Linked DNA regions of Rattus norvegicus. The protein of the gene in region 2 purifies or fractionates together with the protein of the main gene of each other region. This does not show direct contact. Links are inferred from orthologs where the notes say so. Each region holds a gene or a part of one and is shown on either strand. Other genes may lie near its edges.

The links.
Region 1: the proteins of Coro1a (region 2) and Poc1a purify together in Homo sapiens (affinity purification with mass spectrometry; 3 studies listed by BioGRID and IntAct, counting the BioPlex papers as one, with this or other methods). This does not show direct contact. The link is inferred for Rattus norvegicus from reciprocal best matches to the Homo sapiens genes CORO1A and POC1A.
Region 3: the proteins of Coro1a (region 2) and Ift57 purify together in Homo sapiens (affinity purification with mass spectrometry; 3 studies listed by BioGRID and IntAct, counting the BioPlex papers as one, with this or other methods). This does not show direct contact. The link is inferred for Rattus norvegicus from reciprocal best matches to the Homo sapiens genes CORO1A and IFT57.

The regions. Positions count from the first base shown.
Region 1 is NC_086026.1:115,805,251-115,815,044, forward strand, and holds part of Poc1a (POC1 centriolar protein homolog A), read left to right. Parts: intron 1-28; coding exon 29-200; intron 201-510; exon of another isoform or gene 511-544; coding exon of another isoform or gene 545-558; coding exon 559-738; intron 739-2,242; coding exon 2,243-2,350; intron 2,351-3,542; coding exon 3,543-3,658; intron 3,659-5,670; exon of another isoform or gene 5,671-5,857; intron 5,858-9,794.
Region 2 is NC_086019.1:190,724,402-190,734,797, forward strand, and holds Coro1a (coronin-1A), read right to left. Parts: upstream 6,703-10,396; 5' UTR 6,600-6,702; intron 6,162-6,599; exon of another isoform or gene 5,987-6,161; intron 5,122-5,986; exon of another isoform or gene 5,101-5,121; 5' UTR 5,100-5,100; coding exon 4,902-5,099; intron 4,087-4,901; coding exon 3,964-4,086; intron 3,875-3,963; coding exon 3,745-3,874; intron 3,664-3,744; coding exon 3,479-3,663; intron 3,385-3,478; coding exon 3,265-3,384; intron 3,074-3,264; coding exon 2,969-3,073; intron 2,864-2,968; coding exon 2,718-2,863; intron 2,635-2,717; coding exon 2,577-2,634; intron 2,459-2,576; coding exon 2,243-2,458; intron 1,943-2,242; coding exon 1,838-1,942; 3' UTR 1,728-1,837; downstream 1-1,727. UniProt on the Homo sapiens protein: May be a crucial component of the cytoskeleton of highly motile cells, functioning both in the invagination of large pieces of plasma membrane, as well as in forming protrusions of the plasma membrane involved in cell locomotion.
Region 3 is NC_086029.1:64,584,762-64,594,555, forward strand, and holds the start of Ift57 (intraflagellar transport protein 57 homolog), read right to left. Parts: upstream 8,785-9,794; 5' UTR 8,741-8,784; coding exon 8,529-8,740; intron 6,133-8,528; coding exon 5,970-6,132; intron 4,864-5,969; coding exon 4,745-4,863; intron 150-4,744; coding exon 59-149; intron 1-58. UniProt on the Homo sapiens protein: Required for the formation of cilia. Plays an indirect role in sonic hedgehog signaling, cilia being required for all activity of the hedgehog pathway.

The DNA.
Region 1 (9,794 bases), on a different chromosome or scaffold from region 2:
AGAATCATCTTGTTACTACTCTCTTCAGCCAGTGGCTCCATGGACTCAACCCTCATGATCTGGCACATGAAGCCCCAGTCACGTGCCTACCGCTTCACGGGCCACAAGGACGCCGTGACTTGTGTGAATTTCTCCCCATCGGGACACCTGCTTGCCTCAGGCTCCCGAGACAAGACCGTTCGAATCTGGGTACCCAATGTGTGAGTTCTGGACTTCAAGGGACTGACAGCATCGAGGGACTTGGTATAAGAGCTGTCCCTCCTTGGGTCCTTATCCTGGCTTTGAGCTTGTCACAGTGGGACATGTGACCTCTGAGGTGCCATCAGAGGCTGAAGCTTCGCTTGGGCTGTCTCCTTATGTTGGAATGGCTGCTACCTGGTGTTGCAGCTCACACGAGGGTGGTGGTGGTGGGAAAAGCACTTTGTTTCTGTTGGGCAGCTCTGGCCTCTTTGGGGTGAGACCGGGACACTTAGGCCTAGGGAGTTGGCGAGAACTTTGGTGTCCTTGTAGGTTCTCATGTCTGTTATGAGTCTCCTGAGTCTGGATGTCTATCCTCAGCAAAGGTGAGTCAACTGTGTTCCGTGCACACACGGCCACAGTGAGGAGCGTCCACTTCTGCAGTGATGGCCAGTTGCTCGTGACAGCCTCTGATGACAAGACAGTCAAGGTGTGGTCAACTCATCGCCAGAGATTCCTGTTTTCCCTGACCCAGCACATCAACTGGGTCCGCTGTGCCAAGTGAGAATTTCCTGTCTGGAGAACCTGGGAGCGTGAAGGGTTTGGGGTCAGAAGGGCTTGCAGGTGTCAGCTTGTAACCTTGGGCAGGTTGTTTACCTCCCTTTAGTGTACCCCTGAGTCTTATTTTTCTGTACGGGTAACTTTTTTTTTTTTTTTTTTTCCCGGAGCTGGGGACCGAACCCAGGGCCTTGTGCTTCCTAGGCAAGCACTCTACCACTGAGCTAAATCCCCAACCCCGAGTCTTATTTTTCTAATCTGTAATATGTCAATAGTGGTTGCTGTATTGAACTTGTTGGGGGAGCATCATTGAGTTCTATGTGACACATATTAGTCAGCCATGACCCTCTGTCAGGTGTGTGGAGCACTCCCAGGCTAGCAGATAGCAGCCGCAGCAGCCACAAGTCCTCTCAGTACCACGGTGTGCTTTCTCCTTGTTCCTGAGGACAGTTCTGCCAGCTAGGTAGCATCTTCTTTAGTTTGCAGAGAGAGAAACAGGCTTCCAACAGAGCAGTATCTACTCAGCTTAGTTATACTTCAGAGCTGCTGGGTAAGGACTTGGTGTGGAGGCCCTGGCTCTGGTGTGGGAGGTGGGATGCCAGTGGCTTGAAGAATTACAGAAAACATATTCCTGCCTGTGGTTTTGTCAGCTTCTTTAACAGAGCTTTCTCATGTCACAGCTCTGCTCCAGAGGAGGGTGTCCAAGGAGCACTAAGAAACCATGAAAGTCGGAGGTTGGGGACCACTGAACTATCTTCCTCTGGAAGTTTCTTATTCTCTATGACAGAACCATTCTTATTCTGGGAGGGCCCTGCTCAGAGAGCGGGTACTGATAGGGAGGGCAAGCCAGCAAAGTTGGGTGTTAAGTCCTCGGTAGACCTTGAATAGTAAGTCTCAGGACCTCCATGTGTTTTGTTGGCCTTCATATTTTGCTGATGTCCTCATGTGGTGTTCCTGACCACCGCCATGTATCAAGCAGCACCATCTGTGTACTGCTATAGGCCATCTGTCTCCTGGGTGTTCTGTGCTACCGTGTGCTTGCTACGGGTGGGCACTGCAGAGGGTCTGTCTCACAGAGGAGGCCGCTTGTCCAGGATCACTCAAGGTATCAGAGCAGCACATGCCCGTAGGTGGTTCTCGGGTCAGGCAGTTGTTGGTACACACTTGGGAGGACTTGGGAGGCTGAGGCAGGAGGATTGCCACAGTTTGATCTACATATAGCGTTGCAGGCCAGCCAGTGCTACACAGTAAGACCCTATGTCAAAACAACAACATTAAAAAGCCTTAATGCGGGGTTGGGGATTTAGCTCAGTGGTAGAGTGCTTGCCTAGCAAGCGCAAGGCCTGGGTTCGGTCCTCAGCTCCAAAAAAAAGAAAAGAAAAGAAAAAAAAAAAAAGCCTTAATGCCAAAGAGTTCCTGGATCAGGCAATAGCACGCTAGAGGAAGTGGCTGTAGAGAACACAGTGTGGTACTCAAAGTAGTGTGACTTATGGTCCTGTCAACCTAGGTTCTCTCCTGACGGGCGGCTCATCGTGTCTGCCAGCGATGACAAAACTGTCAAGCTGTGGGACAAGACCAGCCGGGAGTGTGTCCACTCATACTGTGAGCACGGCGGGTGAGTCTCTGTCGTCCTCCCACTGCGGGTCCTGCACAGAGTAGGTCAGGGCATGGTGACCCAGGGGCCTTCAGGGGCTGGGCTGTGCATATATCAGCCCTGCTTGCTGCTCGTCAACTGAATATGCTTTTCATATGCACTTTTACCTTTTCCTTTGTAGATGGAGAGTTAAGCCCCATCCTTATCCCATAGACAGCAGAAATTTTTTACCTAGAGTTACACAATAATTTGGTCTCTTTTCCCCCTTTTAGTTTCTAGTTCTCAAAATTATAATGTGTCTTTCTGAACATTGAATCAACCCCCTAAACTGTATGTCAGAACTTAGTGTTCCCCCATGGTGATGATTTATGAATGAAAGCCTCGGTTCTCGTAGCTGGTATTGGCTCTTCGTCCTATGCCGCATTACTCAGGCAGAGTAGGCGGGGCCTCTGAGCTTTTCTACTGTCTAAGCAGACTGCCGCTTCACTCCTCATGCCTTAAGCTGGGCCTCTCCCACCGCATGGCAGGGATCCCTCCAGAGTGCCTGAGTATTTATGCATGTGCACTGGAGGCTCTTGACTGGTCTTCCAGAGACAGATGGGCGAGCAGCCCTTGTAGCACTGCCAGACCTTCCCACCCACAGCTCAGTTGGTGGGACCTGCCTTGGAGCTAGCCCTGGCAGAAGGACCCCAGAGCACCTTGGCTGACCTGCTGGTCTGAAGATAGCTATCTCCACTTGTATTTAAAAATCAGCCGGGGGCTGGATGTGGTTACACACACTTGTAATCTTAGTCCTGAGGAAGGGAGGTAGGAAGGTCGGCCGGGCGACATACTGAATATGGAGGTGTTGTCTCAAAAAAAACTTAAAGACAATGGGGTTGGGATTTAGCTCAGTGGTAGAGCGCTTGCCTAGCAAGCGCAAGGCCCTGAGTTCGGTCCCCAGCTCTGAAAAAACAAAACAAAACAAAACAAAAAAAACAAACTTAAAGACAGAAGAGGAGGGGAAGGAGGGAGGAACATGGTTCCTGATAAGTCTACTTTATGTCACTGCTGGTCACTGTTGTCAGCTGCTTTTTGGTGTCTCCTGGCTACCTGGTAAAGAAGCATGTTCCAGGTTGAGGGACCTGTGTGACCAGACACACAGGGAAAGGGCGCTTTGGGTGCGTCCTATCCAGGGAAGAACTCTTACAGTATGTGACTGTTCTCTCTCCAGCTTTGTCACCTACGTGGACTTCCACCCCAGTGGGACCTGCATTGCTGCTGCTGGCATGGACAACACGGTGAAGGTGTGGGATACTCGGACTCACCGGCTGGTGCAGCACTATCAGTGTGAGTGTCGAGCAGTGTCGCAAGCCCACAAGCCGCCACTGCTGAGACGGTGTGAGGGCTGGGCATCTGCTTCATTACTGCGCTGCTTAAATAGGCCCAAAGACAGCCCCGAGCTGGGAGGATTCCTGCGGCTGTTGGGTCCACCAGGATGAATAGTTGGTGTGGTAGTCATCTTGGCTTGGAACGTTGGTCAGGTGGTGCCCTGCTATAGCAGAGTCTCACACACGCTGTAGCTGCCGAGTCTTTGGTGAGTTTCTGGCTAGGACTGTTTCTGAGGCCTGCTCCTTGAGAGCGCTATACTACTCATCTCTCCCTGTGACGGAGGTGACTTCCCAGGGCCAAGGAGATGGGCTGCATAGAGGTTGGTGGGACCTTGGCCTCATGTTACCTTCCACAGGTCTTCCTACAGCCATGAAACACGTAGAAGGTTGCTTTAGCTGAGGGCCAGCCCTGGTGCCAGGCCTAGGCCTATGGCCCCTTCTTTAACTGTCACCTGTGGATACAGAGCAGCGGGAGTTGACATTGGGTCTGGAGTTCAGTCTTTAGCACTCTCTACCCCAATATTCCCGTAAGACTTCTGTGGTTGCTTCTCAGACATTGGAAAGCAGCACTTTCTTGGGCTGCCGAGCTGAGGAATCCAGGAACTGGGAGAAGTTCCTGGTTCGGGACAGGACAGAGTGGAGTGTGGATTCTGTAGCCAGCTTCAGCATTCTCAGCTGTGTGACACTAGGTGGTGGGTCAGTGACTCCTCTGAGCTCTTGGGACAGTGATGGGGTTCATCTTACAGGTGGCAAGCCAGGGCTTGACTTACCTCTTGTTAAGAGGGAAGAGTGGCTGGCACAACATGGCTACAGTGACAAAGATGCTGTTGCTGCTGGCCCCAAGTGTTCAGCAGGAGTCATCAGTCACTTGTAGAGACATACAGTCCACGGTGCCACCAGCAGGTGGCAGGCTTAGCCACCAGAACCAGGCCTTTCCTAGTCAGAGCCAAGGCACCTCCCGCTGCTGTGCTTTCAGAGGCTTCCAGAGCAGAGCAGTCAGGTGCACGTCCACCCTCTTTAGACTCAGAGGCTTGGTTTCTGTCCTGGCCCAGGCCCGAGTTAAAGGCTAGGGCTGGAGACTGGGCGCTGTCTCCATGTTGACTGGTGAAGGTGGCAGAGCAAGGAGAGTCTGGGCAGGGAGAGATGAGACAGGAAAGGGACCAGGGAGTGCAGTGGCCAGGAGCGCAGGCTCCTGTGTTCTGTGACCCTTGCCCATGAGGTGATAATCTGCTGAGAGAGTATGTAGGGGTATTACGGTATAGCGCTTGGTGTGGTTTGTGCCACACAACCCTACACTGGGAAAGAGGATTTCTAGCTGTCTCTGGAAGAGTCTCCCTGATAGATTCTTGAGTTCTAGCAGCATGTATCCATTGGAAGATCTTTGAATGCCACCTTTAAACCTAAGGTCCCAAATCCTAGTGACTGGTAACTCTGGGGCGTGACACTCGAGGAGCAAATGGAGGAGGGACATTTGAGAAGACAAGTGTTGAGAGAGATTCTGCTATGATGTGTGGTTGATAGACCCTGGTCATTGGTGCACGGATTTCCATGCTCAGTGTAGAATGAATCAGAGTGGTTAGGCCAAGGGCTGCTTATGTAGAACGAGTAGAGGCGGAAGCTGATGCCGTGCTGGTGGAGGGGCCACCTGGGCCTTGGGATCTGGGACATGAGAAAGAAGGGCCACTGCCATATTCTGAACCATTATGGCTGGAGCTGGAGGACCACTAAAGAGGAAAGGACTCCACAGCAGCCATGAGACCCATGAGACAGCTGGGGAGGGCAGAGTCCAGAGGAGAATGAGATCTCAGGAGGGGGCTGGCAGGAGGTGGAAGAGTTCAGAGGAGGTAGGGAGAGGACTGTGGGTTTCAAGGGAGTGGGCAGAAGTGCAGCTCAGGGCTAGCAGGGCCAGGAGGGCCTTGGGTGAGCATCAAGGCCAAGTTCCGAGTGGACGGGAGTGCTTGCAACCCACAGGTTCCTCTGAAAGCTTTCAGTGGGAGTTTGCTGCTTCTTTGCCTCTTGGGATGGAACTCCTCAGCAAGGCTGCAGGGTCATATTTCTCGGCTGTCCTGCTGTGTGTCGGAGCCTTGTGGGGACTTTGTGCAGCCTATAAACACAGCCGGCTTCCTCCTGAGCTTCCTGCCCAAGGCTGTGGCACCTGGTAGGTGTTCACACGAGAGCAAACTCACCTCTCAGCTTTGGGGATCACCTTCCGGGAGTGGGAGGGGGTTACAGCTCACTCTACTTTCCGATACTGTACCTCTGGCTAGGTCTGCTCAAGTCAAAGGCCTTCACAGAGAACTTGGCTAAAACTCTGCCAGGGAGGGTCACCCTCTTCAGTGCACCCATGGGTCTGTTTGGAAGCTCTCAGCACCGTTGTGGTAGCAAACCTCTGATCTCTCCTCTGTTCCAGATTCCTAAGAAACCCAGGTGAGAGATCTAAGGATACAAAGTTCAATGTCTCCCGCGGTGGTGCGGGATAAGAGGCTGGTGGGCTCTGAGAGAGTGTGGTTAGTGCTTGCAGTGAGTACCCAGCACCCCGCGCTCATGCTTCTGTCCTCGCCTCGGCTGTTGGAGTAAAGCTTGCTTCAGCTGTGAGTTACAGCATGTAGCCAGTGCTGTTGGTCTAAGGTGGGCTGAGTGTCCTCCCCGGCAAGGTGTTTCTTGGCTCCTGCCTCTCACTGCAAGGAGCAGTTCTGATTTCCTAATTCAGCGAGGAGCCGATGGGCTGGTGGAGCCCTGATAGTGCCAGTTCCCGTGGAGGTGGGTTAAGCACCATATGCTCAGAGCCCACGTTAAGACTGTTCAAACATCTGAGCAGCAGCCCCCGCCATCCCTGAAATCCAGAATGTGCTTTGTGGTTTGCGAACATGTGCAGGCCCATGATCCAGGCACAGGCCTGGGTGACCAGCAAGGCATGGCCTCTCCCCGCTTCATCCTCAGGTAACGTGAGGCTTGCCTAGAGCCACACAACTGAGAGCCAAATCTAGCTCTTCAGTAGGAAGGGTCTGGGAGTCTGCCCACTGTTCCCACGCTGAGTCCTACGCACTCTAGTGTTTTATTTACAAAGCTCCTGGGAGAGATGGGTTTTCTTGACAAGTTGTCAGGAGGCTTGGCTTGGTCATTTCCAGAAACTTGAGTTGCTAAGTCTTTGAGTTCTCTGGTCACTGGCTCCTGAGAACATCTGTGTACCTCCATCCTACCCAAGGGGTCTTTGCTTAATTGTATTCATTTTTGTAGGTATGAGTGTTTTGTCAAACATGTACAATACCCAAAGAGGCCAGAAGAGAGCACTGGGCCTCCTAAGACTGGAGTTATATTGTCATGAGCAGCCATAAGGGTGTGAACCATGACTTGAATCAGGGTTCATCAGAAGAGCAATGAGTGCTTGTGACCACTGAGCCATCTCTTTTAATGTGGTACTAGGAATTGAACCTAGGACATCAAGCATGGCTTTCACCAAGCTATATACCCCAGTCTCATTACGAAGGCCTTTTTGCTCTGTTTTGTTTTTTGATTTTTTTTTTAAAGTGTGTGTGTGCATGTGTGCGTGTGTGTGTGTGTGCGTGTGTGCGTGTGTGTGTGTGTGTCTGCAGAGGTAGAATAGGATACTGGATCCCCAGATGTTAGGAACTAAACTCAGGTCCTCTATAAGACCTGAGTTATAGGTTACCTGAGTTATAGTTATAAGCAGTACACATTCTTTTTTTTTTTTTTTTTTTTTTTTCCAGAGCTGAGGACCGAACCCAGGGCCTTGTGCTTGGTAGGCAAGCGCTCTACAACTGAGCTAAATCCCCAACCCCAGCAGTACACATTCTTAACTGTTGGGCTATCTCTCCAGAGCATCATGGAGGGCTTTTAAATGACTTTGCAGCTAGCAAGATACTGAGCCTTTTATTTGGTGTTCTAATTTTTTTAATTACATTAATTGATTTAAATGTTTGTTTGTTTAGAGTGAGTGCATATGTGTGTGCACGTTGCATGTACACACATGTGAATGTGCCATGGCATACTTGTGGAGGTCATAAGACAACTTTGGGAAGTTGGTTCTCTTTCTGTCATGTGGGACTCAGAGATTAAACTTAGGTTGTCAGGTTGTTATTTCTCTGGTCCTATTTGGGGTGATGGGACTTAATGTATTAGTCAGGAGCAATGCTGGCTAACCTTCTTCACTGTCTCCTACCATCCCAAAGTGGCCATTTATGTGACCTTGCTTAAGGTGACTTAAGGGTCCTTGCTGCTAGTGTCAGGATACATTTAGGTATATTCAGCATTCCTTGGAGACCCAGAGCCACAGGAATACGAGTTAGCATCATGAGGAGCATGTTGGTCCTTGGAAGTGAGCAGACCCCTTTGTGACAGGATGTGGAAAAGGAGCTCAACCCCAGCACTATCTATCTCAGAGAATCCATCCTCCCAGGCACCAGGCTTTATCTGGGTCCCTTGGTATCCCTGGACTCTAGCAGGCTCAGGTTTGCCAAAGGCTTCTTCCTGTACACAAAATAGTGTCCGTGGAAAGGATTGTGTGTACTTAAGTCTCTCTCCAGGTTCTCTGCTGCCCATAAGCTGTAGCCATTTCCTGGTGTTTAGGGGCAGGGGCTACAGGACCCCACTGGCTCTTGGTTGACCTAGAGCAGTGTGCTGCTGAGCGTCTCTGACACAAGTTACAGTTCCCACTCTAGATCACAGCTAGGAGCACACAGCTACCAAATGATAATCTGTGTTGTCCCTGATATCTGCCATAAAGCTAAGGCGACTTGGACAGCTCAGGACGTCATAAAAAGGAGGTTGTTCTTGGACAGTCACTGCTCAAGGCATTGTGACGAGAGGCTCATCCCTTCGTTGGCTGTGAGGAGAGGCTCACCCCTTTGTGGGCATTTGAGAGAATATTATGCAGTGATGGCTTTTGGGGTTGGAATAGATGGATCCTGCCTACTACCTCAGCAGAAGCAGAGTGGAGGAGACTGTGGCCAGCAGTCAAGGCAGGAGAGCAAATGGGGATAGTGGGGGTGGGTTCTATGTCTGGATGTCCCTTGAGCCTGATGTCAGGCTCAGCCCTCCTCGGGGGTCAGTGGCTGTAGAACCCTGGCATTTGTAACAGAGTGGGGCTTCTGTTTCTTTCCTTTGGGGACAGTTTTCTTTCTCAGATAGTGATGGAGTACATAGTTTTGTGTCTACATAGACTGCTGTCTTGGTGGTTCTGGGGAAGCCCAGGGCTCCCTGAGCATGTCTTACTGTGCTCCACCTTTCTGCCACTGGCTGTGCCTCTGCTGCTTTGTCTTAGGTGGATCAGGGGTCAGGGTGGCCTTCACTCCAGGGCAGGCGGAGGGGTCTCTATTCTGTCTCCAGGAGTGGGCTGTAGAAACCTTGAGATCTTTTCCATGCTGCTTCCTGGAGTTGTCATTGGAACGTGTTGCTCAGATATAAATATCAGGTTACATAAAGCCTTGGCTGTCTCCCTAAGTGTTCCTGGGAACATGTCTGCATACTCCCCGCATTCATACACCAATGCGGCTCGCATCTAAAAGGCTCCTTGTAATCCTTGTGGGCTCTGCTAAGGGCCTCGGAGGCTCCTGAATGCTCTCAGAGCCCAGGTGAAAGCCTGGTTTTGATCTTGTCTCTATGTGTGGTGATGCCTACCTCAGGATCATGGTGACCTCAGCTCCACTGTTTCTCCACTAGATCAGTGGTAGTGACTAGGAAGACACTGGGTCTTACCTTTGCAGCCTTTAACAAGCAGGTCCATGCGTTAGCTATGATGTTGCTCCTGACCGCATGGGTCTACCTGTTTCTCTAGCTCCATACACAACATACCCTTAACCTCAAGGAAGGGCTGTGTAGCCCTCGGGGCTTCTGAACATCCATCATAAGTAACTGCTTCCTCTCCATTTTCTTTTTTTTTCTTTCTTTTTTTTTTTTTTTTTAAGATTTATTTTATTTATTATATATAAGTACACTGTAGCTGTCTCCAGATACACCAGAAGGGGGCATCAGATCTCTTTACAGATGGTTGTGAGCCACCATGTGGTTGCTGGGAATTGAACTCATGACCTCTGGAAGAGCAGTCGGGTGCTCTTAACCGCTGAGCCATCTCTCCA
Region 2 (10,396 bases):
CATCCATGAAGCCCTAGGTTCAGTCTTCAGTACCCTATAAACCAGGGATTGGGACACGCACCTAGAATAGGACTTGAAAGGTAGAGGCAGAAGTATTGAGTGTTCAAGACCATCCTAGACAATGTGAAACGGTCACAACACACGAAAACAAACCCCGTACTCCTATAGATAGGGTTTAAGAGATCTGTTCCTTCCTGGCTTCCTCAGAGGCCAGGTCCTCTGAAACCCACAGGCAATTCTCTGAGGCAGCAGAATGCTGTGAATGAAGGGGTTGGGAGTGGGGCACTTATGGTTCCAGAACAGCCCTTTAGCCAACCATTACCCTGCTCCTTGTTTCAGTGCAGGGTCAGACTGTTTCCTTTCTGTCTTTATGGGACATAGTCTGTTTTTGTCAAGTTTTTTTTTCTTAGTTTTTGTAGTTTGTTTTTTGAGAGGAACTCTATGTAGCCCCGACTGCCCCGGAACACAGAGATCTGCCTGCCTCTGCTTCCAGAATGCTGAGACTAAAAGCAGTGTGGGTGTTGGGATCTGAACTCTAGTCCTCTGAAAGGGCAGCAAGTCCTCTTAACTGCTGTGCTACGTCTCCAGCCCAAGACTTACTTTTACTTGTGTGTACGTGTGAGTGTATTTGCATGCAGGCGTATGCATGCCTGTACACATGCGTGGAGGCTGGAAGAGTGTCTGTCAGGTGTCTGTCTTCTGTCATTTTCTACTTAGTGCTTTGAGGTAGGCTCTCTCTGAACCCGTGTTTGCATCTTCTTTAGGCTAGAAACCAGCCAGCCCCAGCAATCCTGTTTTACCCGAATCAGAGCTTGGGTTGCACGTGCTTTCTCAAGCTTACCCAGCTTGTGATGAGGGTGCTGGGATCTGAGTTCTAGTCCTTACGACTGCAAGGGAAACACTAAACCACTAAGTCATCCTCCCACCTCCTGTTTTTGGCTATTGTTTATTTCATTACAGTTGTTCTTGAGACCTGGTCTCTTCTAGGCTGGCTTTGAACTTCTGATCCTCCTGCCCTCGCCTCCCAGGGGCTGAGATTACACGTGGGGGGTACCACACTTGGTTTATGCAGAACCTGGTGCATGCTGCCAGCCAGGCCACACCCACACCCCATCTGGTTTTGAGTTGTTTGGTTTGAGGCAGTGTCTCACTTTATAAGCACTCTCAGTTGAGTTTCTGACTTGAACCCCACAGCAATCCTTGGTCTCCCGCATGCTCAGGTTGCATGAGTGAGTGGTGTCTGCTCAGAAGTCTTGTTATTTTTGTTCTTTGAGTCCGCGGCTTGAGAAGTGTCAGCGTGTGCTCGTTGGTTTCCCGACAAGCAAGTGTTGGCATGGCTGTCTGCAGGTTGTGCTGGTGTTGACCAGGAAATGCTAATTTGGGGTCAGGACTAGAGGCATAGCTAGAGTGATAGAAAGCTTACATGGCATATTAACAGCTTTGGTCCAGCACTACCAAAGAAAACACCAGGTTTTGGGGTGACTGACATTTTGGGGGCCCTAAGAGGGATCTGGATGGCTCAGACCTTCCACTCTGAGGCAGAGCGAGGAAGTGGAGAACAATTGTCCAGCCCCATCCAGCTCTATCGCAGCAGGCATCTTAGCAGGCAGGGCCCGCCCCTCTGCTACAGCGAGCATTTGGAAGTGACCCACAACCTGAATGGTGACCTTGCGTTCAGAGAACTATCAAGGGGAAGCCTTGGGGCTAGCCAGTTCACCAGTCAGAGGTACCAGAAAATAAAGCCGTTTTATTATTTTCGTCTTATCCACCATATGGCCTGAGGGTTGGGGTGGGAGCAGAGTAAATGGCTGGCCCCAGATGAAGGCTCTGGAGTCTTCTACTTGGCCTGAACAGTCTCCTCCAGCCTGTCCAGGCGCTCTTGAAGCTTTTGCACTATGGCGTTGAGATTCCTCACATCCTCCTCCAGCCGTGACACGGTGTCCTAAGAGACCCAGCCCTGCATTAGCCCAGCTTTTCTGTTCTTCCCTCCACTGGCGTCAGCTAACCTTTCCAACAGCCACAGGGCTTGGGCCCTTCTCTCCCAGCAGATGCTACTCGGATTACTGTCTCTAGGCTTGCAACCTGGTTTCTAAGGCCTCCTGGTCACTAGCTCCTTGCCCTCCAAGAATCTCCCGCTGTGCGGAGCTTGGGCACCTTTAAACATTAGACTCTTTCCCTATGAACCTTTGCCTGAGCCCAGCGTCCCGCCTTGCTCCCTCCCGCAGCTCCCCACCCGCCTTACCGAGCTAAGAGTGCTACTGGGCTCCGGTGTAGCTCTTCTGCGAGCACTGTCCAGGCCCCTGTTGACTCTTAGCTCCCTGCTCTTTGGGGGCACGTAGCCATCCTTGAGGGAAATGAGGAGGGGGCCAGCATCACGACCGCTCAGCCACTCCTCAGCTGTGAGGGCGGGGTCGGGTCCGGCAGTGGGTGGATACAGGTCCTCCTGGAACAGGTCCGACTGTGGGCGAGGCCAAGGCGGGTCATGAGAGTGTTTACGTTCCTGCCCCACCCTACAAGCCCCCCCCCCCGTGGTCATTTCCGGTCCCAGCACCCTGGGAGGAGCGCAGGAGTATCACCTTTCTAGGCACTGTCATGGCAATAGGCTCACATTTCCGCTCATGAAGCTTATAGAATCTGTGGAAACAGGAAGGTGAGCATCATTATTCAGTGTGACCGTTTGGGTACTGAAGGTCTGATTAGGATTAGGGGTCAGTCACCTGGCAATCTCGCACTTATTCACTTCCAGGCCACGTTTGGGCATGTAGCCCATACCACGTTGAGACTCCTTGGAACTGAACATGGAAAGATAATGCAGGAACGGAGCCTCAGACGTGATCTCAAAATACCGGATAGAGCTGTCACCCTGGAGGTGTGGGCAAGAGAGTCAGTACCAGTACAGGGCACCCGACTTCGTTCACCACGCCACCTTCCCACGTCCCTTGCCCCCCAGCCCTCCTGACTGAGTCACCTTGCCACAGAGGTAGACGATGTTGGTATCAGGGTCAAAAAAAGGTAGCAGGACTCCACTGCTTGTGTCCAGCTCCTGCAGGGACAGTGGCTCCTCCAGGTGCTTCTGTAGAGACAGGTGGTGATGGCAACAGGCTGGGCCATGTCAGGTCCTTACCGGACAATTACCAGCTAAGGGCCCTCAGACTAAGCATAGAAACTCCCCATCTCACAGGTAAACCGAGGCCATGGTCATATGGTAGGGCAAGCCTCTAGCCTTGACTCCCAGCCTGCAGGGCCCTGTATCTCAGTACTCACTGTGTCCCACAGCGCCACCTGCCGCTCACTCATGCGACTGAACCCCGTGGTTAGAATCTTCCCTTCTGACACAAACACAGCATGCACTGGCCGAGTTCCCTCATGAGGACGCTCCTTCTCCTGAGAGGAGAGAGATGTGGTAGGTCAGCTTCTCAGACCCCACGTGGGTGCAGGAAGAGCAACATCCGAAGGTTTAGGTTTCACGGCAACTTACAGCCACAACAGTGCCTTTGCGAGGCTCGATGACGCGAACACGCTTGTCACGGCAGGAGGTACAGATGAGAGCACCATCCCGGCTCCAATCCACACTGTAGATTGTGTCCGGGTGCACATCCGGGCCCAGCGTCAGCACGGCTGCCCCAGTGCCCACATCCCACACCAGGATCACATTGTCACAACCTGCACAATCGTCCAACATTGAATGATGAGCCTTTGCCCTCTATCAAGTCTCCTAGCCCTCCCCTCCTCACCCTATGGCACCTGCGCTGAGCAGTACATTCTGGGCTGTGGGGTGCCAGGCCACGATGCCAACCCGCTTGGTGTGGCCCTCCAAGGTGACAACAGGCTCCCGCAAGGGCAGCACCAGGCCCCCATCCGGGATCTCCCACACCTGCAGAAAGGGGCAAGTGAGTCTCTGGGGCTTCAACACCAGGTTCTTCCTGGAGACCCCTTCAAACCCACATTCCTAACAAGACTTACCATAACTGTGCAGTCCTCAGAGCCACTGGCAATGACGTTGTCATTGTGTGGACACCAGGCGATGTCTAGCACAGGGGCAGTGTGGCCGCACACCAGGGGCACATTCTTGTCTACTCGTCCAGTCTAGGGGGCACAACATGGCTTCTGATGGAGACAGTTGACCTCCAAACCCAATCCAACCTCCCCACACCCCTGCAAGGGAAGGTTGTGGGGTCCCTGGGAGCACTGAGGTGGGGAGGACTTGGCTCTGTCCTAGTCCCGGGAAGGCTAGCACCAAATTGCATGAGACTCTGGCCCTCTCTCTCAGTGTCATCTGTGGGTACCATGGACTCAGAGTGAGCACGGGTTGGGGTCCCCAAGAGGAGAGTGTGAGTAAGGGGGCTATAGGATGTGTTCTACAGATAGGGTCCTGGAGGTCTGTCCTGATGCTTCTAGACAGCAGCAGAGGTTTGGAAATGGCCTCTTCCGAGGGCCAACTGCTTCCTGTGTAAGGAGCTTCGCAGGGTGCAGGCACAGCTTCAGCCCGACAACCACTTCCTCTTCTCTTTTGCTTCCATCGGCCCTTTTAAGGTAACAACTTGGGGCCTATCTCCCCTTCCTGTTTCACCCCCTGACGAGTCCAGGAGTGAACTGGGGCTGAAGGGCAGCAGGCTCAGAGGGGAGGGAAAGGTTTTTGCCTCAACTCCACCCGTGAGCCAGGACTCACACTTGAGGAGTCCCCAAAGTCCTCGCCAGACCTGGAGTCTCATTCCTGAGAACACTAGAGCATCCTTATCCTGAGCAGAAAGCCCCAAGCCAAGACTTAAGTAGCAAGTGGCCCTGTCACGTCTTACAGATATCAGCCCAGGACCTGGGGTTCTGTGGGGTCACCTACTCAGGACCCCACGGTCTCAATGGACAGCAGAATCATGAGGAGCACTGCGGTTCCAGAAGCTCACCTTGCCTAGGGGTAGCACCAGGAAGGCCCCTCCCCCACTGGCCTCACAGATCAGAGCCATGAACTTGGGGTTGACAGCGCAGAAGCCACTGTCCCAAGTGGTTTGTGAGACGCGCACATCCTCATAGCACTGGTCAGCTTTGGCTGGCTGTCCAAACACGTGGCGGAATTTGCTGGAGCGAACCACCTGCCGGCTCATCCTGAAGGACACAGATTGTAAACTTTCCTTTGGGTCAATTCCAGCCCTACATTGTCATCCCCAGAGCAACCCTTGGCCTGGCTTCGAGGGCTCCAGCATCTTGTTTGAGGCACCCTGACCTACTACTCACCATGACTGACAACTCACTTACCTCCCTGCTTACCCTCCCCAGTTTTTCTTCTGTCAAACTCCCAGGCACTTCAAGCCACACCCTCAATCCTGCACCACCAGCCCCTACAATAGCCTGATATGGTGTGGCTCCAAGGGTCTGGTTCTTGACTGAGACACAGTGCCTCCTTCCTAGTGGTCCAGGCACGCTGGAGGTGGGTTCCCTCCTATTGACCTCTTCTAGATCCTACATCCCTCACGCCCACACAGAGCTTCCTAAAGGCAGGGCAGGGCTTCTCCCTGGCCTTCCAGCTCAGGGATTGCACACAGACGGATGCATGCCAGCTTGCCTAGGAAGGAATGAGGTAGCAGGATGGCTTCCCCAGGTTTCTGGCTACAAGCAGCAGCAATGGCTTGGGTCCCAGCATCCCAGACCTCGGCTCCTAACCTCCGCTCAGAAAAAGCAGATGTTCTGAGCCATCGCTGCTTCCATTAAGCTGCACTCAGGAGAGGCCCACCCTGACATCCCTGAGGTCCGCTAAGATGGTTACCCACTGTGGCTAGGCAGCCAGCCAGGGCCGCCCAGGAGCGGCCCCTATCCTTGTGTTCCAGAGCTCCGTCCTCGTGCCCAATCCCTCCACCTTCCTGCTCAGTGGAGGAACCTCGGCTGCCCTGTGGAAGGCATCCTGCCCGGAGCCTCTATCCATCTCCCCAGCCTCACCCATCTGCTCTGCCTTAATGGGGAGCCCCTTCTAGTTGGGACTCCAGTCCTCACACACCATGGTATCCCCAAAGGAGGCTCCCAGGTCTATAAAAAAAAGCAGGTGAAGTGCCAGAGTGAAGTCTCCAAGACAAGAAGGGGACACAGGCCACCAGTGAGCAGTCTGGACTAGGGAGAAGGATAGCCCAATCCAGAGGTGGGGGCTGAAAGATGTGCCCCACCCGGCCTCCTCCCCCACCCAGGTACCAAGCCCGGAAACCACGGAAAGGGGAACTTAGTCTTGTTTTGCACTCAACCCCTTCCTGTCTCAAAGCTCAGGGCAGCTACTTGTCTCACCCCACCCTGCCCTCCTCGAAGCTCCCTCCCGGGGGCATAGGTTCGGAGTCCAGCTACGGCCGCTCCCAGGAGCCCACCTCCATCTTGGTCACGATGGTCCTTCTCCCTCACCTTGGAGCAATCTGGGACCTACTTGCCCCTTTGCACTCCCTAGTCCTCGGTCCTCCTGGCGGGGCTCACAAACCGGCTCTCTGTCCCCAATCTGGTGGCCCTGACAGCTCGCCCGCCCCCACAGTCCCACAGTCCTGCCCCCACACCGGCGCTGGCCCCACAGGTGGCCCATGGCAGCGTGGCCGGGCCCTTGTGACCAGCCCTCCCCCGGCGCCCAGCCTCACCTGCTGCGGAGAGCTGAGCGTGACCCCTCCCAAGTGGAGGAGGCAGGAGAGAAGGATGGAGGAGCCGCAGGCTGGCCACCGAGGATGCTCTGTCAAGACAATGAATGAGCAGCGGCCGTGCGCCGGCCTCCTCTGGGTGGCAGCGCCCCTTTGGGCGGAGCTCATGGAGGCCCGGCCCTTCGCTCTGGGGCGGCAAAGCTGGGACCCGCTCCCATGCTGTCAGCTCCAACCCCCGAACAGATGCTGACGCGAATCAACTCTTCTTTTAATGTCAAAACGCAAAAAATATCCGTTCCTTCATCCCTCCCCCAGCCGCCCGCAGCCTCCTCGAGGTCCTTTCCCTGGCACCCGAGAAAGCGCCAGAAGGGCTACAACCAGCTTGAGAGCCTTCTCTGCGACAGGAAGGATCTCTCTTGTCGATGACCCAGATGGATTTCTGGGATGCCTTAGGGGGGGTTCATTTCTCCTTTCTAGGGGTTCAGGGCTTCAGCGGGGATGCCGTTGACCTCTGCTTCACGGGGTTGAGGCCCGGAAGAAGTAGAATAACTGGGCATTATGGAGCACCTGTTTTGTGCTGGGGCTGAGGAGGGAAGTGAGTCGTGCTCCCGCCACTAGAGAGCCCTCAGGCCTGTGGCAAGTGGAGTGGGGAGTATGTCTGCCACAGTTTAAAGGCCACTGAGTACACGCAGAAGTCTGATACCACACGCAGAAGTGCTCTTAACCATTCCTGTCCCTTAGGGGGTGGTGGGTTGTCAGGGCAAGAAAGGCCTTTGCTGGAACCTTGTGACTCCTGGTGGTCACTCAGATGACTTGGACAGGTTAATTTAATCTCAGCCCTAACTCCCCCTCTCTAACAGTCTTACCTGCCTCAATGTGGAGACGTTCACTCCAAAAATAGCTGGATGCACATCTACAGAGCGTCAGGCGATAACTAATGTTGGATCTTACAGCCAATGTGGTGGCCCACACCTATGAATCCATTACTGGGGAGGCAGAGGCCTAAGGATCACAGTGAAGCCGAGGCCAGCCTGGTCCACATAAAAGTTCCAGGCCTGGCTACATAGTGAGACCCTGTTTCAAAAACCTAAAAGATGTTGGTCCCTTTCATAATTGTCATTTACCAAAGCTTTGGGCTATCCTGGGAAGAAGAGGGAAATAGCAGATGTGGCTTTGGAGAAGGGCAGGAGCTGAGGCTCGGTGACAGCAAAGCTCAAAGACACAGGTGTGCTGATAGTCATCTGTGCTCAGGAAACTGAGGCAGGAGCCCTCACAGCCTGGGCTACACAGCAAGACCCTGTCAGAGGAAACCGTTCTTCCAGGTAGAAGTAGTCCAAAGGAACAAAAGGGGCCTGACTCCAATCGTACCGATTAGCTGTGTGATCTTGACCAAGAGGCCCCTCCTCTCCAAGCCTCAGTTTCTGTAGGAGAGGAACAAGGCGCCCTGCCCACCTCACAGCTGTCTGGGCTCAAATGAAGCATTTGACTGTTCTGTAGCCTGCAGTGTTCTATAGTTACTCAACAGGGTTGGATTGTGCCTGAGGCTCTGTGATCGTGGCCAGGGACTCGGCAGTCTGCAGCTAAAGTGCTAACAGTACTGGGCTGAGAATGCAGCTCAGCTGGCAGAATTCGTGCACAGCCTGAGGAAGGCCTGATCTCCAGCATCACATAAACTAGGCACCAGGCTCGAGAGGTGGCTCCATGGGTAAGAGCACTCGCTGTTCTTGCAGAGGACCAGGGTTTAGTTCCCAGCATCCGCCTGGTGGCTTACAACCATCTGTAGGCATGCGTTTGATACACATACATACAGGCATGTAAAACAGTCATACGTACTGCCTCAGTCACTGTTCTGTTGCTGTGAAGAGACGCCATGACCACGACAAGTCTTATAAAAGGAAGAATTCAACTAGGAACTTGCTTATGGCTTTAGAGGGTTAGTCCGTGATCATCATGGTGGGAAGCAGAAAGGCGTGGTTTTGGAACAGTAGCTGAGAGCTTTACACTCTGATCCACAGTCAGGAAGAGAGGTAGATAGACAGACAGACAGACAGACAGACAGGGCCTGGTGTGGACTTTTTTTTTTTTCTTTTCTTTTTTTTCTTTTTTTTTTTTTCCGGAGCTGGGGACCGAACCCAGGGCCTTGCGCTTGCTAGGCAAGCGCTCTACCACTGAGCTAAATCCCCAGCCCCTTGGTGTGGACTTTTGAAATAACAAAGCCTACTCTCACAGACACGTTTCCTCCAATATGGAGGTATCTATTCCAACACATTAACCCCCAGCGGTTCACCAACTGAGAACTAGGCATTCAAGCGTGCGAGCCTCTGGTGGCCATCCTTACTCAAACCACCACAGACGTAAAATAATAAACCGTGAGGTGGCAGCACGAGCCTTTAACCCCAGCACTTGGGAGGTGGAGGCAGGGAGATCTCTGATTATGAGGCCAGCCTGGTCTACAGAGTGAGTTCCAAGAGTTATGCAGAGAAACTCTGTCTCAGAAAAATAAGTTAAAAACCTAGAAACAAAGCCAGGTAAGATGGTGATTGCCTATAATCTCAACCCTTGGACAGAAGAGGTAGGAGGCTCAGGAATTCAAGATCATTCTTAGCTCCATTAAGGAGCTCAAGGCTAGTTGGTGCTGTATGAGATTCTGTCTTAACCCTTTCCTGCAGATAATAATAGCTGATGTTTATTGTGCAGCTTCTATATACCAGTTTTGAACATTATAGATTTACACGCTCACTGGGTATGCTGGTACATACCCACAATTCCAGAACTCTGGAGGCTGAGGCAGGTCACCAGCCTGGGCTACACAGCAAGACCCTATCTCAAACACAAGCAAACAAAAAGTACCATATTTACTTAATCCTAAAAACACCTTCCACCCCGAGGGTGGCTACTGCTTGGTGGTTCTCTCCCTTTGGCCGGAAGTATATACACCACCTTCAGCACCGGAGGGCCTAGTACTCACACTCAGACAGAGAACTTGGTGAAACCCGCCTTCAGGAGCAGTGAAGCTAGCAAGAGATAGCTAGGCAGTCAGACGCTGCTCTTAGATGCAGGCAGAGTCTGCAGTATGGGAAGGGGAAGATAATATGAAGACAGGAAGCTGTTGTAGAGGACAGACACAGAAACTAGTGGGAGGGACTTCTCCAAGGCAGATGTCTACAGAACACAAGAATGAGTGTTAGCTCAGTGACGGGTGGGTCTAGCTTGTCACTAACATGGATGTGTGTGTGTGTGTGTGTGTGTGTGTGTGTGTGTGTGTGTGTGTATGTACATCTGTGTATATGTGTATTGGAGACCAAATTCAGGATCTCAAGCATGCTAGGCAAGCATTCTGCCACCAGGCTATCCCCTGAGTCCTCCTCTGTGACGTCACTTTGGTTTTCTTTCAGAGATGTAGCATTCCATCAGACCATCTGGGATCCTGCTTGTGACCATGCTTCTCTGTCTAATGAACCCCCTTTCTGTCTAGCGAACCCCCTTCCCCTGGCTTAGCTCTGGGAAGATCACTGATTCAATCTGTGCTGTGAGAAAGAGACACATCTTGGAGCTGTGTGAGGTGGGAAAAGCCCTCTTTGCCCCAAATATGAAAACACAACCCTAGGAGAGGGCATTTATCACCATGTAGGAAAAAACTACTCAGAATAGCCCATGGAGAGAGCTGCAGAAGCAAGATACAAAGACAGATTCTGTGCATCATTGGAGGGTCTGGATCAAGCTGTGCCAGAAGCACTGTATAGTGACATATAAGTTAGTAGAGCCCCCCACGCCCGCCTAAACTAGTAAATTTGAGTTAC
Region 3 (9,794 bases), on a different chromosome or scaffold from region 2:
TTAGCCAAGGGAAAGCAAGCCACAGGCAAGGCTGTAGGCAGCTCGGCTGCACACTTACCACAAACTCTTCATCCACTTTACTTAATGTTAACTCCGCATCATCTTCCGGAACAGTTTCTTCTTCTAACTCTTCCACTGGGTATGATGGCCTGAAAGAACAAGATTTACTGAATGCTTAGAAGTTCTTAGTGAGATAAAACATGCCTTACGAGGAATGGTGAAGGCGCTTCCGTATGGGACCGCTCTCTTTGTTAACTTCAGTAAATCGATTGCTTCTGCCCCAAAATTTCAATGTTGAGAAAAGCAAAGATATCTGCCACTAGCTGTAAAAGGCACATTAACAAAAATAATTGATGCTGTATATACCGTATCTAACATGCTCACTCATATACGCACACAAAACAATATATGCATTACACTCCACTGAGCAGCAGTTCTACCATTAAACGCTCATCCTGTGACTAAAACATAGGGTCATTTCTATTGTTTGATATATAATACTTTAAAGATCATATTTGTAAATTTACTACCAGGCAGATCTTTTAAGATAAATTTGTCCATGTGAAATGGCTACATCGACAAGTTTGTACGTTGTTTGTGGTTTAACGAACTGTCAAAATTGGCTTCCAAAATGCTATCCTAATTTATACTCCCAAGGATGGTGAGGAATGGCATCTATGTTTCAAATTTTCTTCTAATATGCATAAAATAAAGTGTGCCAATAAAACAAATGAAAAAGTATCATTGTTTCTTTAAATTTCTTAATCATAGACGTGATTGAGCAACTTTATATATTTTAATTGATGATTCATTTTTAGTGAAACTCTCATTTATACTCTAACTTTTATAAATTAAGAAAATTAATGTTTTTTCTAGTTTCCTCCACCCCGTCTTTCAATTGTGTTTTATTCAATATCATTTAAATTTATATACTAAATTTTACATGTATATATATTTTGCAGCAAATATTTCCTTTTTATTTTTTGTTTTTATTGGATATTTTATGTCTTTACATTTCAAACATTAACCCCTTTCCCTCCTCTTCCATCCCTCATCGTCCTCCCGCTGCTTCTCTGAAGATGCTCCCACTTCTACCTCAACACCTTGGCATTCCGCTACACTGTGGAAAAGAGCCATCACAGGACCAAGGGCTTCTCCTGAGAGGCTCTGCCAGAGCCTTACTGATACAGATGAGGATGCTAGCAGCTAACCATAGGACTGAGCACAGGGACCCCGATAGAGGACTTAGAGAAAGGACTGAAAGAGCTGAAGGGGTTTGCGACCCCATATGGGGAACAACAATAGCAACAACCAGATCCCCCGCCCCGAGCTCTGGGGACTAAACCACCAACCAAAGAATACACATGGAGGGACCCATGGCTCCAGCCCCATATGTGCAGAGGAGGGTATTGTCTGGCATCAATAGGGGAAGAAAATTGTTTACCTAATCTAATCTGCTCCCTAGTTTTACTACTTAGAATCATGAATAATGAAGACTGTTATAATTCTTCCTAGATAGATTTGGCAACGTTTTCCTGTCCAGACCTTTGATTTAATATTACAGAATTAAAGCATTCCCTTGAGTCACACCTGCCTACATCTCTCTGATCTTTTACTATGTTTATAGTTTTAATTTTCAATTCACATTGATCTCAAATATGCTGTTTATTTTTCTAGAGATAGCAAGCTTGATTCTTATTTCTGAAGTCCAATTAGTGGTTCTAACACTAAAGTGTTGGACAACAATTTCTCTTAAGATCTACTTATTTTCACATTAAAAATTATCCAGACATATTTGCATTAATTGTGACAACTAATTCTAAACATATACATCTCAAATATTTTTAAAAAAATATACAGATCAACATGTAGTAGGAAAAAAAGTATTATGAACCAAATCAATCTTGTATAATAAATTTCCCAATTTTCATGACTTAGAATTAGATAATTATATCAAAAACAATGTTCTTCTAAAAATCGTTTGACATAGTTAGGAATAAGAATAACCGTCTATAAATAAGAAAGTTCTATGTAACACAAGTGATAGTTTCCAACATTCATTACTTTTCAAATGTTTTCCTTTCCTTTTCCATGTATATACAGTTCCTACAAATTATCCACGTCACAACCCATATTATATAACCAAATATTATACTAGAAACAAAGGAAGTGTGAATTGAATAGTGGTTGACACAGTAATAGCCTGCAATGCAACAATGACACACTGAGCTATGGATTTAGTAACTAACAAACTCGGGCAGCACATCATGTAATTCATCTTTTCTTGAAATCTAACCAACACAATTAGGGACTGCAGAGTCATTCTTTACAATGAACTGAATGGAAATGTTTGGGTTGAAGCAAAGGAAACTGCCATGTTTTACCTTGAAACTAAATGGATATCAGTTATTGAATATACTTATATCCAAAGACAGCTTAAATCATGGAAGTTTTAATAATTTTTGAGATTTTATCAATCCCCTTCTCTCTTCCATCCAAACTCTCCCATATATCAACTTCCTTATTCTCTTTAAGATTCAGTCCTCCTTTTTCTTCCATTGTTGTTACATACATAAGTGTATAACTGGGGTTGAGGATTTAGCTCAGTGGTAGAGCGCTTGCCTAGCAAGCGCAAGGCCCTGGGTTCGGTCCCCAGCTCCGAAAAAAAGAAAAAAGAAAAAAATAAGTGTATAACTATTCCTAAATATATTTCTTGTACTGTACACACACACATACACACACACACACACACACACAACTTTCAGAATTTTTAGAAATACTTATTAAAAGGAAGTAGATTTCCACAGACCATATGAAGCTCAAGAAGGGGGAAGACCCAAATGTGGATGTTTCAATCCTTCTTAGAAGAGGAAACAAAATACTCACAGGAGGTAGAGGGCAGAAGGGACTTGGGAGGAAGAGAAGGAGAGGGAGGGGGAGGGGGAGGGGGCAGGATCAGGTATGAGAGAAGATGGGGATGATATTCAGAGGGTCAGGAATTTGAACAGAGGTGTATAGCAATGGGGGATGGGAAACTGGGGTAGCCACCAGAAAATTCCAGATGCCAGGAAAGCAAGAGGCTCCTTGGACCCAACGGGGATGACATTAGCTGAAATGCCCAACAAAGGGGAGAGAGAACCTACAGAGACCATATCCAGAGGTTAGGACCCTGGTTGGGAGGATGGAGCCATTCACCCTTCTCAAAAATTTAAGCCAGAATTGCTCCTATCTAGAGGAAATACAGGGACAAAGAGTGGAGAAGAGACTGAAGGAAAGGCCATCCAAAGACTGCCCTACCTGGGGATCCATCCCATATGTAGCCACCAAACCCAGTCACTATTGCTGATGCCAAGAAGTGCTTGCTGACAAGAGCCTGATATGAATGTCTCCTGAGAGGTTCTGCTAGAGCCTTACTGATACAGATGAGGATGGTTGCAGCTAACCATTGGACTGAGCACAGGGACCCCAATGGAGGAGTTGAGAAAAGACTGAAGGAGCAGAAGGGGTTTGCAACCTCATAGCAAGAACAACAATATCAACCAACCAGACCCCCAGAGCTCCCAGGGACTAAACCACCAACCAAAAGTGCACATGGAGCGACTCGTGGCTCCAATTGCATGTATAGCAGAGGAATGCATTGTCTGGCATCAATAGGAGGAGAGGCCCTTGGTCCTGTGAAGGCTCGTTTCCCCAATGTAGGGGAATGCCTGAGAAGTGAGGTGGGAGTGGGTCCACAGGAGGGGAAGCATCCTCACAGAAGCGGGGGGGGGGGGGGGGAAGAGGGATGAAAGAGGGGGGTTCTGGAGGGGAAACCGGGAAAAGGGATAGATAACATTTGAAATGTAAATACATAAAATATCCAATAAAAAAAGAAAAAATTATAAAGTAGATTTTTTTACATAAATGTAATTGTGCATGTATTAATATATTAACATGGAATATTATATACCACTTTCTAGCTGCAGGAGTTTGTTGAAATCTAAAAAACAATGCATACTTTATTTTTATCATGTTCTACCGTCTAACCTATGAATTAAATAATATCTAATAATCAGTAAATAAAATCTAACCTATCAGCTTTCAAAGATGAAATGTATATATTTTAATCATACCATAGAAAACCAATAGTTTCTGATTTTATTTATTCATCAATATTTACTAAACATATATGATGAACTAAGTACAATGCTAATTACCAAAGATTGTATATGATGAAGGATTGGTAAGAGTTGTACCTACAAAGCTATATCTGTAAACAAATTATTAAAATATCGTAAAAAATACACAATGTGCTTTCAGAAACCAACCAAAAGGATGGCAAGTGGCTTCTTCAGCGTTATTCTTGCCATTGAGCAAGGCAAAAAGAAAGTTCCCCACTCAGTGCTATTTTAATTTCCTATTCTACATAAATATGAGGTTTTCGGTTACCTCGACAAGCACACACAATAGTTGTGGGTATAAATACGAGCACAGAGAGAACTTAGAAAGGTTTTCCAAATTGGCAAGGATTACAATAACAACAAACAGGAGATGCACCGGATTGATGAAATCATTTCAGAGTGGATTTGGAAAGCATTCTGGTTGTGTCTATCTTTAATCTTTGGTGCACTGTCAGTTTAGATCAGTCAGCCCTTGTCAGTTTAATTAAACAGCTCTGTACTCCAGAAACAATCAAGACAAACAATAACAACAGCAAAACCCATTAATTCTGTAATAGCAATATTGTCTGTGAGGTAATAGTTACCTTTTCCAAGTGAAACCAATATATTTTAATGCTTCTTCAGCTAAACAATCAAGAACATAGCATACATGTTCTCCATAACCAGACTTTAATTTTGAAGGAGGAAAATCTGCAGTTCTCCCCTGAAAAGATAAAGATGTTATTTGTTGGCTGTATTCCAGAGGCCAAGATTGTTTCAGCAAAGAACTACTGAGCACATGTATATTTTGAACTCTTCAAATGACAAGATAAAGGTAATTCTCTTAGGCATTCATTCCTTAAGTCTTTTTAGTCCACTGATACATTTACACAAGTACAGATATTTTATGCTCAAAGTACCAAATTAAAAGGCACTTACATCCTCACCATACAAGCTTTCCAGACCTCTCAGGTCCACACCCTCAGCCCACCCTTATTATCACCTTAGGCTCAGCTTCGTTAAGAACTAGGATTTACTTAACTAGCTAGACTGCTGACTGTGCAGAATGGGACATGTAAGCTCAACACTGCTGTTCTGTGTTCCCCATCACACCTGAGAAAAATCCAGAGGCAGACTTGAGGGGTGACCTCTGTAACTGTGTTCAATCTAGAATTGTCATTTTTTAATATCTTAACTTATTGTTTCTGCTTCAAAGAATGTACTGTAGCCTACATACAGGACAAAAGACCTAACTTTCTGTAATTTCAAAAATATAAATGAATAAAGGCAGTTTCATCATAGCAGGGAAACAAATCAGTACTGAAAAATTGTCAGCAAAACTACTGGCATGGTAAAATGCATTTTAAAAAAAGGATACAGTGATTCACTTATTAGAAATTAATAAGTGTCAAAAATGTCTTACTGCCTTTCCCCTGGAGAAGCCAGAAATGAAAGTACAAATGAGAAATCCTAACAAAACCCAAATCCTTCCAAAGTCAGTTGTTTGCTTCATACTCTGAATCATCCCTCCAGGGGAAGAGCTGACCACCTACCTAAGAATCTATTTTTGAGGCTTACAAAAATTAAGAAAATTATTATTAATCTGGTCTATGTAACGTTTTTAGAAGTGGAATTCATGTTCCATATAATATCAACCATTCTGGGAAGCTCTTATTTTAAAATAAATTGGAAAATCACTCCTATCAGTCAACTATCGGTCTGTCTGTCTACTCTTCCAGAAGAGTCAAATAAAAGGCTCGCACCTGTTACTGAACTGCTACTACGGAAACCTGCAGTTTGAGAACATGGAGAAGAGAGCGCGTCACTTACAAAAGAGCGGAGCTCAGACAGGATGTTAGATATAGTTGCATTGGGATCGTCATATTCCTGAGGCTGCTCAAAGGCACGGCCAGTCTTGTTGATCAGCCAGGCAGCAAGAGTGCAAAACATGTAGAACTGCTCACCGGGATTGGTAGGCAGAGCAAAGTAGTGTCTGTTTCAAAGGGAGGATTGGTTGGTGAGATAAAGCAAATCAACAGTGAGTAAGTCACACAGACAAGTCTGAAGTTGCTAATTTTCCCCTCAAGCAGCCTTCATCAATACTATTGAGCTATCTAGTGAGTTATGGCACTCAAGAAGTTTTGACCCAGTATCAAGGGACAATCACTACACTACCCAAAATATTTGATCGACACCCCTACCCCAACCAGGGATGGAAGGCAGTAATTTTGGAGGATGACCTGAAGCTTTGGTCACAATCAATTAACTGGTCATCAGTCAGTCCCCCTACAAGTGGCGACTGTGGATTATGAGGCTCTTGGACTTTAAGAGACTAATAACTTACCATGGTTTTCACTGTCTGTGGCCTATCAGCTACGCCAGGCAGGTGCTTCCTTTTAGCTGCAGATTCAGATCAACTCCTTAAAATACTGCCAGCAGCAGTCCCCAGGCCTGCACAGCCATAACTTATGGGATGGAACCCAGCACAGGTACATTTCAGAGCTTCCCAGCTTAGATGGTCCAGGGTGGCAGAAAGGACCAAGGACCCCTGTCATGTCCCCCTGCATCACCACTGCTAACTTTTGCTAATTCCATTACTGTACTAGATACATTGCCATGAGGATATGATTTATACAAAGCGAGGGAGGACATAAAGGTACAAGTAGCATCATTCAAAAGTTAAATCAGAGATCTGATATGTTTTATGTAGCTACCACTATTACTAATACACGCACACACATATATATATATGAATTTAAGAAACTAATGACTTATGTTTTTACTATATCCATATATACAGTATACACACATGTGTACATATATATATACACACATATATATATGACATAAGAATCAGTGGTCTATACTTCTATTTTCTAAACTTTTTCCATCCAGAAAGTATAAAAGTTCTGGAAGAAAATATAAAGCTAGGAAATTTTTCATGAACTCCTTTCAGGCATAGGTTTACAAGGAATTTATCTACCAATAACTGTTTATTCCTTATTACCTGACTCTCCTCTAGGACAGAAGAAGGCACACTGACAGATGCTGTGGGCCTGAGATGAGGATTCTCAAGCATGAAGGTCCATCAGAATCACCCAGAGGGATTGAAAACTCAGATAGTTTGCCTCCAGAAGTTCTGAAAAGGCAGATCTGGACAAGAGCCTTGGAAACTTCTGTCTGTATTCCCAGGTGATGCTGACTTTTTGGTCTGATAGTGACACTTTGAACTCCTGGTTAGAATGTCTCCACACAAATGCATGGTACAAAGTATCTTGCTCAAGCTTAGAGTTTCAGTACAGCAAGGTATTAATAGAAGTGTAAGGCTATTTTCCCTTTGTTCGACAAATACATTTGAAAAACAACATTTTTATCAACACCGAAAATGTTGGCCATCTATGCTATTATGACCAACTCATTTTTAAATAATAATCCCAATCCTAAAACTTCTATTGTAGATCAGGATCAAGATGGTAATTTTTCTCCCTTACAGACTAATTTGGCATTGTGGACAGTTTGTATAAAAGCCCAAGAATCCTTCCAAATGTGTCTGGAAGAGGGTAAGAGCTCAAAACTGCCAAGAGAAATTATATGAGCCTACCCAGAGATGGTAAAAGAAAGTATGTTAGTTCTTTTTTATTTCTTCTTTCAGAATAAAACAAATACAAGTTTTAAAGTGAAGGAAAAGCAATAAAACAGTTATCACTAAGCTACCATGATTACCTGTGGGAGTTTTGTCTATCACTCTTGGCAACTAATGGCACTGCCTTCAGGATATTTCAAACTTTTCCCACCACGGCAAGCACGAAACTTTAGGCCCTATAATGAGGGCCATTCCAACACTTATTGTTTCTTTTGCCTTCTCCACTCTCCGGTTTCTAAGAGTATTATTGCAAAAGTATTAAGTCCTTTGAACCATAGTAATTAGCCCACAAGTTTACGTACTACATAAAAAGTGCTCCTCAACACGGTCCTAAGTAATCACAGTTGTCAGTTTAGGAAGTCTAGCGAAGGAAAACAAAAACTAGAAAGAGATGTAAATGATAAGGCCACTCATCTCTAGAGATCGTTTTTTTTTTTTCCCTTTCAACTGTGGGTATTTTATTACACTTAAAACAAGATTTGTGCTTGGTAGACGGTGCGTGTCTGTTTCAAAGAATAAACAGGCTATCTTCCCCAGGCCTCCCTGCCATTTCAAAACTTGTTTACTTTCTCCACAAAATGATCAGGTCTGAAAAACTCCACCTTCCTCGGTGCAGAAGTTCCCTTCCAGAGCAAAGAAGACAGAGGACTGGACGTGCGGATCCCCGCGTGGGGTCTGCGCCTCACGTAGGAGGGGGCGTCCCCCTGGGGCCCAGCCAGCACCCGGCGCTGGGGCACAGCACGCACCTGGACGGGGGCTTCAGATTGCTCTTTCGGAGTAGCTCCTCCTCGTAGCGGAGCAGCTTCAGCTTCTCCACTAAGTCTTCCATCACCACGAACATGTGGTAGGCCGCTCCCGGCCCGCGCTCCACCACCGCCTCCCCAGCGCCTTCCCCGCGAGCCCGAGACACCCCATCGTCCAAGCCCGACGGCGGGATCACCGCGGCCGCGGCAGCCATCGCTGCTCAGATCCACAGGGCCGGGCTGGACCCGGGCTAGGATCTCTGCGGCCACCGCCGCCCGCACCCCGCAGACCGCCCTGTCGCCAACGTTACCAGGCGACCGCAGGGCTGCCGGTCACCATGGCAACTAGACCCCGCCCCCTTTAGGTTCAGCCGGCCTCTCTAAATTCTCGCCAACCAAAGCTGGGTTTCGCCACGACGTCACGCCATGCCGGTCCCTGGCCTAGGAAGTAGCTCCGCCCTGTAGGCGTGGCGTTTATTCCCCCGCCCCTTCGGGGGACTTTCACGCGAGTCTTAAAGGCCCAGGCTCTTTAATTCTGCGTGCTCAGTACAGCCAAGAGGAGCGGAGGATCTGGTATTCTGCTCAGGGCTGCTGATTGAACCGACATCTGATCTTCTAGGTAGCAATTCAAAGGACTGAAACGAAGCGGAACAGAGTATTGGAGGCTATGCTTGCTCAGTGATTCTTGTTTTATGTTTTTCAAAGTGGGAAGTTATCGTAGTTGTGGTGAACTCAGGTTCATTTTCCCTCAGAAATACCACCCACAAGACTGCTTGTTTATTTCTTAACTTAATTGTTTATTAGATAATGCTAGGCTTACTAGTATATTCTAAATAAGACTTGATACAAGGGTAAGTAATCACTCCAGTTTTAGGAAAATGGTTGCTTGGAAGAGGGTGGCTTGGGAAAGGATTTATACTACACGCTCATCGCCCTCATAATCTGTTCCAAGCCCATGCAGATGTAAATTCTTGAGTACTAATGAAATCTGACAAAATATAGTATCTGGAAAGGAAGTTCTGCTTTGCAGCACTTACATTAGATAAGAAAATTTTTTCTATTACAGCTGCAGGTACTGACCTAGAAAACACATGGAGACATAACTGACCACGGATATGACTTATCCTTATAGTGCTAAGAAAAGTGCTGTATCAGGCAGTTTTCCTAACAGTTAAAAGTAAGAAGTGAAGCGAAGAGTAGTGCCAGGCACTTTTTTTTTTTTTTTAATCTTTTTTTTTCCGGAGCTGAGGACCGAACCCAGGGCCTTGG